Saccharomyces cerevisiae S288C: one gene and its partners. The gene in region 1 interacts genetically with each later gene. Each region holds a gene or a part of one and is shown on either strand. Other genes may lie near its edges.

Region 1 (2,981 bases):
AACTACCGCTTCGAGTTCCAATTACGACCCCTTCAATGCCCCCATTTTCACTCCGTCTTCAACCTCCTCAATTCACACTAATGCAAATGCACATTCTTTTCCATTTCCCTCCATTGCAAATTCTGGTGGCATAAATATAAACGCCACTGATGATAATAGTAACAATATGAGTATGGCTAATAATGTGCCACCTCCTATGCAACCGCCACCCATAGAGAGTAGTAATCTTAAGTACCCACGTATTTATCCGCCTCCTCACAGTCTTCTACAGTATCACCTATATGCACCTGAACAGCCATCATCATTGAAATCATTATTAAAGCCTAATGAAAGGTCTGCAGATCAGCTTTTCATTCCAAACAATATTAGAGAAGATTTAACCAAGAAAAACTTATCGATTTTGCAGGTTTTCCCCTCTTCAGGTAAAGTTATACCAAGTATTGTACAAGATTATTTTAATTTGGTTCCATTGAACTTCAATAATAACGATTTTTTAAATAAAACTACGCTCTTCAAAGTTTTTTCCAATTATGACGGTAAAGCCTACGTTTTGAAGAGGCTTCCTAACATCGATAAGTCAATGAATCCAAACAAAATATCCAAAATATATCAGATATGGTCAAAAATTAATTGTACAAATTTGATAAAGTTTAGGGACATTTTTCAAACTACTAAATTTGGTGATCTGTCTATTTGTTTGGTCTTTGACTACTACCCAAACTCGCTATCTTTGTATGATTACCACTTTGTTAATTTCCCTAAGTTTCCAATAACGAATAATTATTTATGGATATATTTAGTTCAACTCACCAATGTAATAAACTCTATCCATTCACAAAACTTGAGTATTGGCAATACATTAAACTGGAGAAAAGTTTTGATTACTGGGGACCCAGGGAGAATCAAGTTATCACACTGCAATTTTATGGACCTTTTGTTCAATGATGATACTGATACCGTAGTATCTTCCGGCGGAAGTACCATAGAGGGACAACAACAGCTAGACTACAAATATTTAGGAGAGCTATTATTTAACCTATCCATTAATATTGAAAACTCTAATAACAACACTGCCCCTAAAGAATATCGATTGGAGGAAATAACCCCTCAATCAATTGATGACATGAGACAGATCGATGATAAGTTCAAGGATGTACTCAAGTATCTGATATCAGACAACGGCGATTCCAAAAAGAGCATTCATGATCTTACTAGTCACTTTTATGATAAGATGTTCATGGTCCTGGAATCGTCACAAACCTATACAGAATACATGGAGTCTGTCTTATCAAGAGAACTAGAAAATGGCAGATTATTTAGGCTGGTCAACAAGCTAAATTGCATTTTTGGTAGAATCGAATCAAGAATAGACATAAATTGGTCCGAATCTGGGACTAAATTCCCCATTATACTATTTTATGACTACGTATTCCATCAAGTGGATTCGAATGGGAAACCAATAATGGATTTAACTCATGTCCTAAGATGTTTGAACAAATTAGACGCTGGTATTCAAGAAAAGTTAATGTTGGTAACGCCCGATGAGTTAAACTGTATTATTATATCCTATAAGGAGTTGAAGGACTTGATAGAATCCACCTTTCGATCCATCACCCAATAAAACAACACCAAATAATGTAGATACACACATATATATTAATTATACATTAGTATCCCCTTGACATACCCCACTACCGTCTTCATGTGGAAAATTTTCCGTATTTGCTTTCCCCTTCTGTTCCCTAATTCTATAGGGTAAGCGATTCATCCCTTGTTCGCCACATCTAAGAGAACTTAAAGCCGGGGCTCACCTCTACTACAGAGATTGCTTATGGTGAACAATATTAAGTGATTATATAACACAGTAATGTACAAATATATTTTAGTCATGTAGGTGATATTGTGCACGGCGAGGTTCTCTGATTGTGAACCCGTATAAGGAATATAAGCGGAGAAACACAATATTTATAAGTAACGATGCAAGAATTTTATTCTTTTTCACCAATAGATGAAAACGGAAATCCATTCCCCTTCAACTCCCTGCGTAACAAAGTGGTTTTGATAGTCAATGTAGCATCTCATTGTGCGTTCACACCTCAATACAAGGAATTAGAGTACTTGTACGAAAAATACAAATCACATGGTCTAGTGATTGTGGCCTTTCCCTGTGGTCAATTCGGAAATCAAGAGTTCGAGAAGGATAAAGAGATTAATAAGTTCTGTCAAGATAAATATGGTGTAACCTTCCCTATTCTACATAAGATCCGTTGCAACGGGCAAAAGCAAGATCCCGTCTACAAGTTCTTAAAGAATTCAGTAAGCGGGAAGTCTGGAATAAAAATGATAAAATGGAATTTTGAAAAGTTTGTGGTAGACCGAAATGGGAAGGTGGTTAAAAGGTTTTCATGCATGACTAGGCCACTAGAGCTTTGTCCAATAATCGAAGAATTACTGAATCAACCACCAGAAGAACAGATTTAATTTGCGGTCAACGAAGTTGAAAACGGAAAAGTGGTGATAAGAATGAAAATAAAAGACATATAATTGAATAGTCTCTGTCACCCTTGCTATCGTATCAACAGTTGCTCTTCTATCTTGTTTTGCGTATGTATTTTTTCTAAGAAGAATATGTAGGTTTTAGTCATTTTTTGTTGATTAAGGGAATGAAAATTGTCCTAAAGAACCCTTTCAGTGGTTCAGCTTTGAGAAGTTTCAATATTGATTTCCGTCGCATGCCTCATCGTTAATTTTTCTCTAGTTTTTATTTATTTCAGAAATTCAAGTTTTTTACTTTCAAGAAATTAAATAATGTAATTTTACAAATAAACATAAACAAGTAGAAGTAAATGAAGAAGCATAAAAATAGTTTTCTATATGGTATGAGTCCGAAAAGCCTCCTGGAATAGTACGTAACTCTATGGAAGAAAATGCTTTATATGTTGGAAAGGAACAAGATCATCTGAATTGAGAGTAATAAGCTT
Region 2 (2,901 bases), on another chromosome or scaffold:
ATGTACTGACAGCGATAAAAGATTATCCTCTGAATTTCACTGCTTGCAATCTATGTTTAATCTACAACTATTTGTCAATCTTGGGTGCCCTTTATCTTAGAGTAGCTAGAAAAGCAACGGAAACAGAAAAAGTCACACCGTGAATAATGATTGTTCGATATCAACTTTTGCAGTTCCTTGCTATCACGTTTGTGCAAGGTATATCATCTGTCATAATCCTTTGGCAAGACTACTGCTCTGCTACTCCTTGTGTGTGCTCACGGCAGGCTACAATGCAAAATTCATCCTAAACTCTGCTCTATAAGCATTAATAAGGTGAAATTTTCACAGCCTTTACATAAAAAACGACAGTAAGTGTATAAATGTGATTGTCAAAACTGCGACGATTCGAAATGATAGCTATTTGAAGTGTAGGTTATATCGACAGGAAGTTTCGGTTCTCGAAATATGTGATGCGTCTTTCCGGCGGCGTCGATGCTAATAGCAACCGTACTCATCGGTACATTCCAAATTTCGAAAAAAAGCTTGGAAACACATAAAAAAGAAAAAAAAAAATACATTTAGCATAAATGGATACACAATGGCGTTTCTTTTTAGTTGATAACTACAGTTTACTTCGGATAAAGATTAGTAAACCTTTGCGTTATGTCCCGTCCTATCGTAATTTCTGGCCCAAGTGGTACAGGTAAATCTACACTGTTGAAGAAATTGTTCGCTGAATACCCAGATTCTTTCGGGTTTAGTGTTTCATCCACTACTAGAACCCCAAGAGCTGGCGAAGTAAACGGTAAGGACTATAACTTTGTCTCCGTAGATGAATTCAAATCTATGATTAAGAACAATGAATTCATTGAATGGGCGCAATTCTCCGGTAACTACTATGGTAGTACTGTCGCTTCCGTCAAACAAGTCAGTAAATCTGGTAAGACTTGTATTTTAGATATTGATATGCAGGGTGTCAAATCTGTCAAGGCTATCCCAGAGTTAAATGCCAGGTTTTTGTTTATTGCTCCACCATCGGTCGAGGATTTGAAAAAAAGATTAGAAGGTAGAGGTACGGAGACCGAAGAATCCATCAACAAGAGGTTAAGCGCCGCTCAAGCTGAATTGGCATATGCTGAGACAGGTGCCCATGACAAAGTTATTGTCAATGATGATTTGGACAAGGCCTACAAGGAATTGAAGGATTTTATCTTTGCAGAAAAATGATGTAGCCCTATATAGACATTACTAAGTATGTACCTGGTAGGAGAGTGCTGTCGCAAAGCGACAAAACGTCCAATTATTCAATTAATATAGTGTAAAAGTTCTCAACGGGCTTATGCTAGTTTTTTTTGTTAGTAAGCGCTACGACGACTAGAACCATCTCTTGAATTTCCAAGTGCCAAAATCAATGACCACGGATACTGTGGCCAGGAATCTGTTGGTTGGTCATCCTCAAGATCTAGACAATATCATATTGGGCCAGTATCTGATTATCTTAACTATATGCGCCCCTCTAGTTTACAAGTTTTAGTCATTGGGGGTTGGAAGGGCTGATCCCCCCTTACAATTGGCGTCGTTTAGGAGCGGGCGAGGCTCTCCTTTCTCTTACACATCTGCTAAGGTGTTTGTTACCCGAGTAATCAAGGATCAACTATGGATGAGATTTAGATTAACGTATTTAGAGCAGACGATTGTAAGAATATATTTTGTAATTTCGATTGTTTTTTGCTACTTACATTGTTTATCTTGAAATATCCAAAGTGAACACTATTACTGTTTTTTGCTCAAGAATATATTAGCCTTACAAGAACGTAAAAAACCAATCATGGTAGCAGAAGTTCAAAAACAAGCCCCACCATTTAAGAAAACCGCCGTAGTCGACGGTATCTTCGAGGAAATTTCACTGGAAAAGTATAAAGGTAAGTACGTTGTTCTAGCTTTTGTCCCATTGGCTTTTTCATTTGTCTGTCCAACTGAGATTGTTGCGTTTTCCGATGCCGCCAAGAAATTCGAAGATCAGGGCGCCCAAGTTTTATTTGCCTCCACCGACTCTGAATATTCCTTACTGGCATGGACCAACCTTCCCAGAAAAGACGGTGGATTAGGTCCAGTTAAAGTTCCTTTGCTTGCTGATAAGAATCATTCCTTATCCAGAGACTATGGCGTTTTGATTGAAAAAGAAGGTATAGCTTTAAGAGGTTTGTTCATAATCGACCCGAAGGGAATCATTAGACATATCACTATCAATGATTTATCTGTTGGCAGAAACGTCAATGAAGCTTTGAGATTAGTCGAAGGTTTCCAGTGGACTGACAAAAATGGTACAGTTTTGCCATGCAACTGGACCCCAGGAGCCGCCACCATCAAACCTGACGTTAAAGATTCCAAGGAGTATTTCAAAAATGCCAATAATTAATCTTCGCACGATAACGCTAGGCCCTATTAAATAATTAAAAATACATCACCCTATATATGATAAGAAAGATGGTTTTGTATTATTATGAAATTGACTTGAAAGAATAGTGTAACAAAAGAAAAAGAAACTGTAATTGAAGAATGATATGCATTTCTATGTGTATATTAACTTAATCATCTTTATATCCAGAAGACGCAAATGACCATTCGACGTATTTTTCCCATGCAGGTTTGTTTTCGTATAATCTGCCTGCAAGATCCAAATAACTTCCTACTGTTAACGAATCCATTGAGTATGGTTTCTCGTCTGAGGTATATTCTATCTCATACCTGAAAATATCCTTAGATTCAACAAATGAATTATGTAATTCTTGATTGATTTTTTCCAAGTCGGCGTAGAATTGGACGAAACGCGTCGGAGTGAATAACTGCGGTACATATGCAGGGCCGAGTTCGTATTTGTCTGGCATCTCAATTGGCATAGTCTTGTCATTTTTCTTT
Region 3 (3,317 bases), on another chromosome or scaffold:
GAGTTCCAGCCAAGACGAGCACACACGACACCAGAACGAGATAAACATGCTAGGAAGGGCATTGCGACCTGGGTGGCTGGGCATTACTAGGACGGTGGTTAAGAAACCAAGTTGCGGGTCCTACTTTAACAGAACCTTTCAAACAGCAATTAACACTACAATGCCTCCCATGCAAGAGGGCATGCTGAGTACAATGATGATGATGACGGCTACGGCAACAAGGATCACTGGCACAGTCAGTGAGCCATTAAACGGTTCAAATATAGTGATGCAACTCGATTCAGTGATGAGAAAGAGGAAAAAAAAGATGAAGAAACACAAACTGCGGAAAAGAAGAAAGAGGGAGAAGGCAGAAAGAAGAAAGCTATCTCAGGGTAGATAATAGGGCTGTAAAAACCTCTCACATGTTTTTCTCTGCTGTTTTTCCTTCCCTATTCTTCATATTTTGATATTATTTCATGTATATATTATGTTTGTATTTAGACTTTTTTTTTTATACGTTATACTATGCTAAGAAAACTCTTTACCAAGAAGTAAAGAACCCAGATCGCGATAATAGAAAGCACCAGCAGCATGACCGTGTGGAGTGCTCTTCTAGTAGCAGAATCCTTGTTGAACATCCATTCTTCGTACAAGTACGTAATACACTTGAAGCTGAACTTGCCCATTAACTCGCGACGATTCAACTCTCCAATTTCTGCAACGATGTTGAAGTTCCAATCAAAAATGCCTTCTGCGACGCTAATGATCTGCAACTTTTGTGCTTCGGTCAATTCCGTCCTGGTGGCCAGCTCATAGTTCTTCTTGTATTCCCATTTCAAGCGTGTTTCTTCAGTGGGACCCAGATCGCTGAAGGTGAAGAAGTTTGTGCCCTTTTTGACCAGTTCCTTCTGTGATAGCTTCTCGAAGTTGGGGAAGAGCCCCAGTCTTCTGTACAAATTCGATCGTATTAGCTTGCCGCCGGCGAAAAGCGCCAAGTACAGAACGTGACAGTAAGAAAGAATGGTGCATGGCTCCTTGTGTATGTTTTCGTGGATGTTATTGATAAACTGCTGTAGTAGCGGTGGCTTCTGGAACGTAGCCAGGAATTCGTTTAATGATTCTGTGCTTTTAAACGTGTTTGAGTATAGCAGCTTCAGGTCCTTATAGATCTGCGTAGATCTTCTAAAATCTTCGAGCCAAAACTGCTTCAGAATGGTCGAAGTTTGCAGCTCCTCCTCCGTTACGGGGTCATTCAGTAGGCGATCTATCTCTTGCTCGATGGCATCGAACACATAATAGTACGCCAGAATACCCTGTCTGTATATAAAGCCATGTCTCATGGCGATGGCCATCTTTATGCCCATGAAGGTATTGATTTTATTGTGGGCATCTCTGGTTTGAAAGTTGATTCTGTTTGCTAGCGCCCCCACGTCAGTGGGTGAGGGTATGATTGTATTGCTACTGTCCTCCATTTTTGCGGTTATTTTATGTGTGTGTGTGTATATATGCTGTGTTATATTGTGCACTGTTAAATAGCTCCTCCTTAGACTAAGCAAGAGAGTATGAGGAGGTTGCTCTTATATACAAACACAAGAGGGCGAGAGGGGCACCTGGCCATTGCTCCATCACACCCAACTCAGGTGTAAATCGTCCTACTTATGAAGGTCATTAGCCCATGTTTGAAACCGTGTGTTACATGGCTCAAATTCCACGGTCCGATAACGCCGACCCCGAGCAGGTGCAAATGGCCAGGCGGTATCGCCAATGATCCGTTTATCTAAAGATAGATAGATGGCCGAACGTGGACTGCCTCTATGGGTACAATAACATATGCACATGGCAACGGGTCTTGGTGCTCAATCGACGGGCACATACACCCTGACTTTCCCCATCATACGACGATGCTCTAGTAAACTTGCACCCGCACCTGTTAGATAAACAAGTGCGCCCAAGATCACAATACCGAAGGGGCGATATCACCACTCAGTATTCTACAGTCGAGCATAGCGTAGTCTGGCAGTATCCCGCACGATCCATTGTATTGTTTGTCCAAACCGCATTTTATGTGTAACGATTAATCGTATATACATGGCCTACAAGAAATTACCCTGCGGCGAAGGGTGAAAAAAAAAGTAGTGGAAACTAAAGAAAGAAGAGTTTAGTTACGGACCCTTTCAAGGATTGACACACTCCCAATATTTTGCTACATTATTGACCTTTGTTGAAGGAGGCGTTCGTTTATTTAATTATTTTGTTCTGTTTTGCCTACAACTGCGAATACGCTCACATTCTAGTTTGACCTTCACAAATTCTTATCATCTTCTTTTGTTTATTTTGACACACCCCTATTAAGTGTATTTGTTTTGTAAGTAATGTCTAAGCAGTTTGTTCGTTCTGCAAAGAACATGATGAAGGGCTACTCATCCACACAAGTGCTTGTGAGAGATGCCACGGCGAACGACTCGAGGACTCCATCGATAGACACTCTCGACGATTTGGCACAGAGATCTTACGATTCGGTGGACTTCTTCGAGATTATGGATATGTTAGACAAGAGGCTGAACGATAAGGGCAAATACTGGAGACACGTTGCCAAATCGCTGACCGTTTTGGACTATCTTGTTCGTTTCGGGAGTGAGAACTGTGTGCTATGGTGCAGAGAGAATTTTTACGTAATTAAGACATTAAGGGAATTCAGACACGAAAATGAGTCCGGATTTGACGAGGGACAAATTATCAGAGTAAAGGCTAAAGAACTCGTCTCTTTGTTGAATGATGAAGAAAGGCTACGCGAAGAGAGGTCTATGAATACAAGAAACAGAAGGGCGAACAGAGCTGCTAGGCCAAGGCCAAGAAGACAAAGAACAAGGAGCAACCCACACGATTCTTCTCCCTCTTACCAGGACGATTTGGAAAAGGCCCTAGAGGAGAGCAGAATTACTGCTCAAGAAGATGAACAACGTAGAAGAGAACTGGCCCAGTACGACGATGAAGATCCTGACTTCCAAGCTGCCTTACAACTAAGTAAAGAAGAAGAGGAGTTGAAGCAATTGCAGGAACTACAGAGATTACAGAAGCAACAACAGTCTCTGTCTCAATTTCAAGCTCCTTTACAACAACAACAACCACAACAACAACCAGCGTACTACGACATTTTCGGTAATCCAATCTCCCAAGATGAATACTTACAGTATCAGTACCAACAGGACCAGGAACAAGCAATGGCTCAGCAAAGATGGCTGGACCAGCAGCAAGAACAACAGCAGCTTGCTGAACAACAATATTTTCAGCAGCAACAACAAGCTGCGGCCGCCGCTTCTGCCTTGCAACAGCAA

The links. Genes that interact genetically often act in the same process or in processes that back each other up.
Region 2: mutations in GPX1 (region 1) and TSA2 impair growth when combined (synthetic growth defect), as found in Saccharomyces cerevisiae (one study listed by BioGRID).
Region 3: of GPX1 (region 1) and HMX1, extra expression of one rescues a mutant of the other (dosage rescue), as found in Saccharomyces cerevisiae (one study listed by BioGRID).

What each region holds. Positions count from the first base shown.
Region 1 is NC_001143.9:388,880-391,860, reverse strand, and holds GPX1 (glutathione peroxidase GPX1), read left to right. Parts: upstream 1-1,977; coding exon 1,978-2,481; downstream 2,482-2,981. Other genes in the region: PAN-complex poly(A)-binding subunit PAN3, read left to right, coding at 1-1,621; TCD2 (tRNA threonylcarbamoyladenosine dehydratase), read right to left, coding at 2,956-2,981. UniProt on the Saccharomyces cerevisiae protein: Glutathione peroxidase-like protein that protects cells from phospholipid hydroperoxides and nonphospholipid peroxides during oxidative stress. Has peroxidase activity using thioredoxin or glutathione as a reducing power. Involved in peroxisome formation.
Region 2 is NC_001136.10:1,364,572-1,367,472, reverse strand, and holds TSA2 (thioredoxin peroxidase TSA2), read left to right. Parts: upstream 1-1,810; coding exon 1,811-2,401; downstream 2,402-2,901. Other genes in the region: GUK1 (guanylate kinase), read left to right, coding at 646-1,209; PPN1 (endopolyphosphatase), read right to left, coding at 2,571-2,901. UniProt on the Saccharomyces cerevisiae protein: Thiol-specific peroxidase that catalyzes the reduction of hydrogen peroxide and organic hydroperoxides to water and alcohols, respectively.
Region 3 is NC_001144.5:552,224-555,540, forward strand, and holds HMX1 (Hmx1p), read right to left. Parts: upstream 1,455-3,317; coding exon 501-1,454; downstream 1-500. Other genes in the region: mitochondrial 37S ribosomal protein mS38 QRI5, read left to right, coding at 47-382; ENT2 (epsin), read left to right, coding at 2,355-3,317. UniProt on the Saccharomyces cerevisiae protein: Plays an important role in the degradation of heme under conditions of iron deprivation.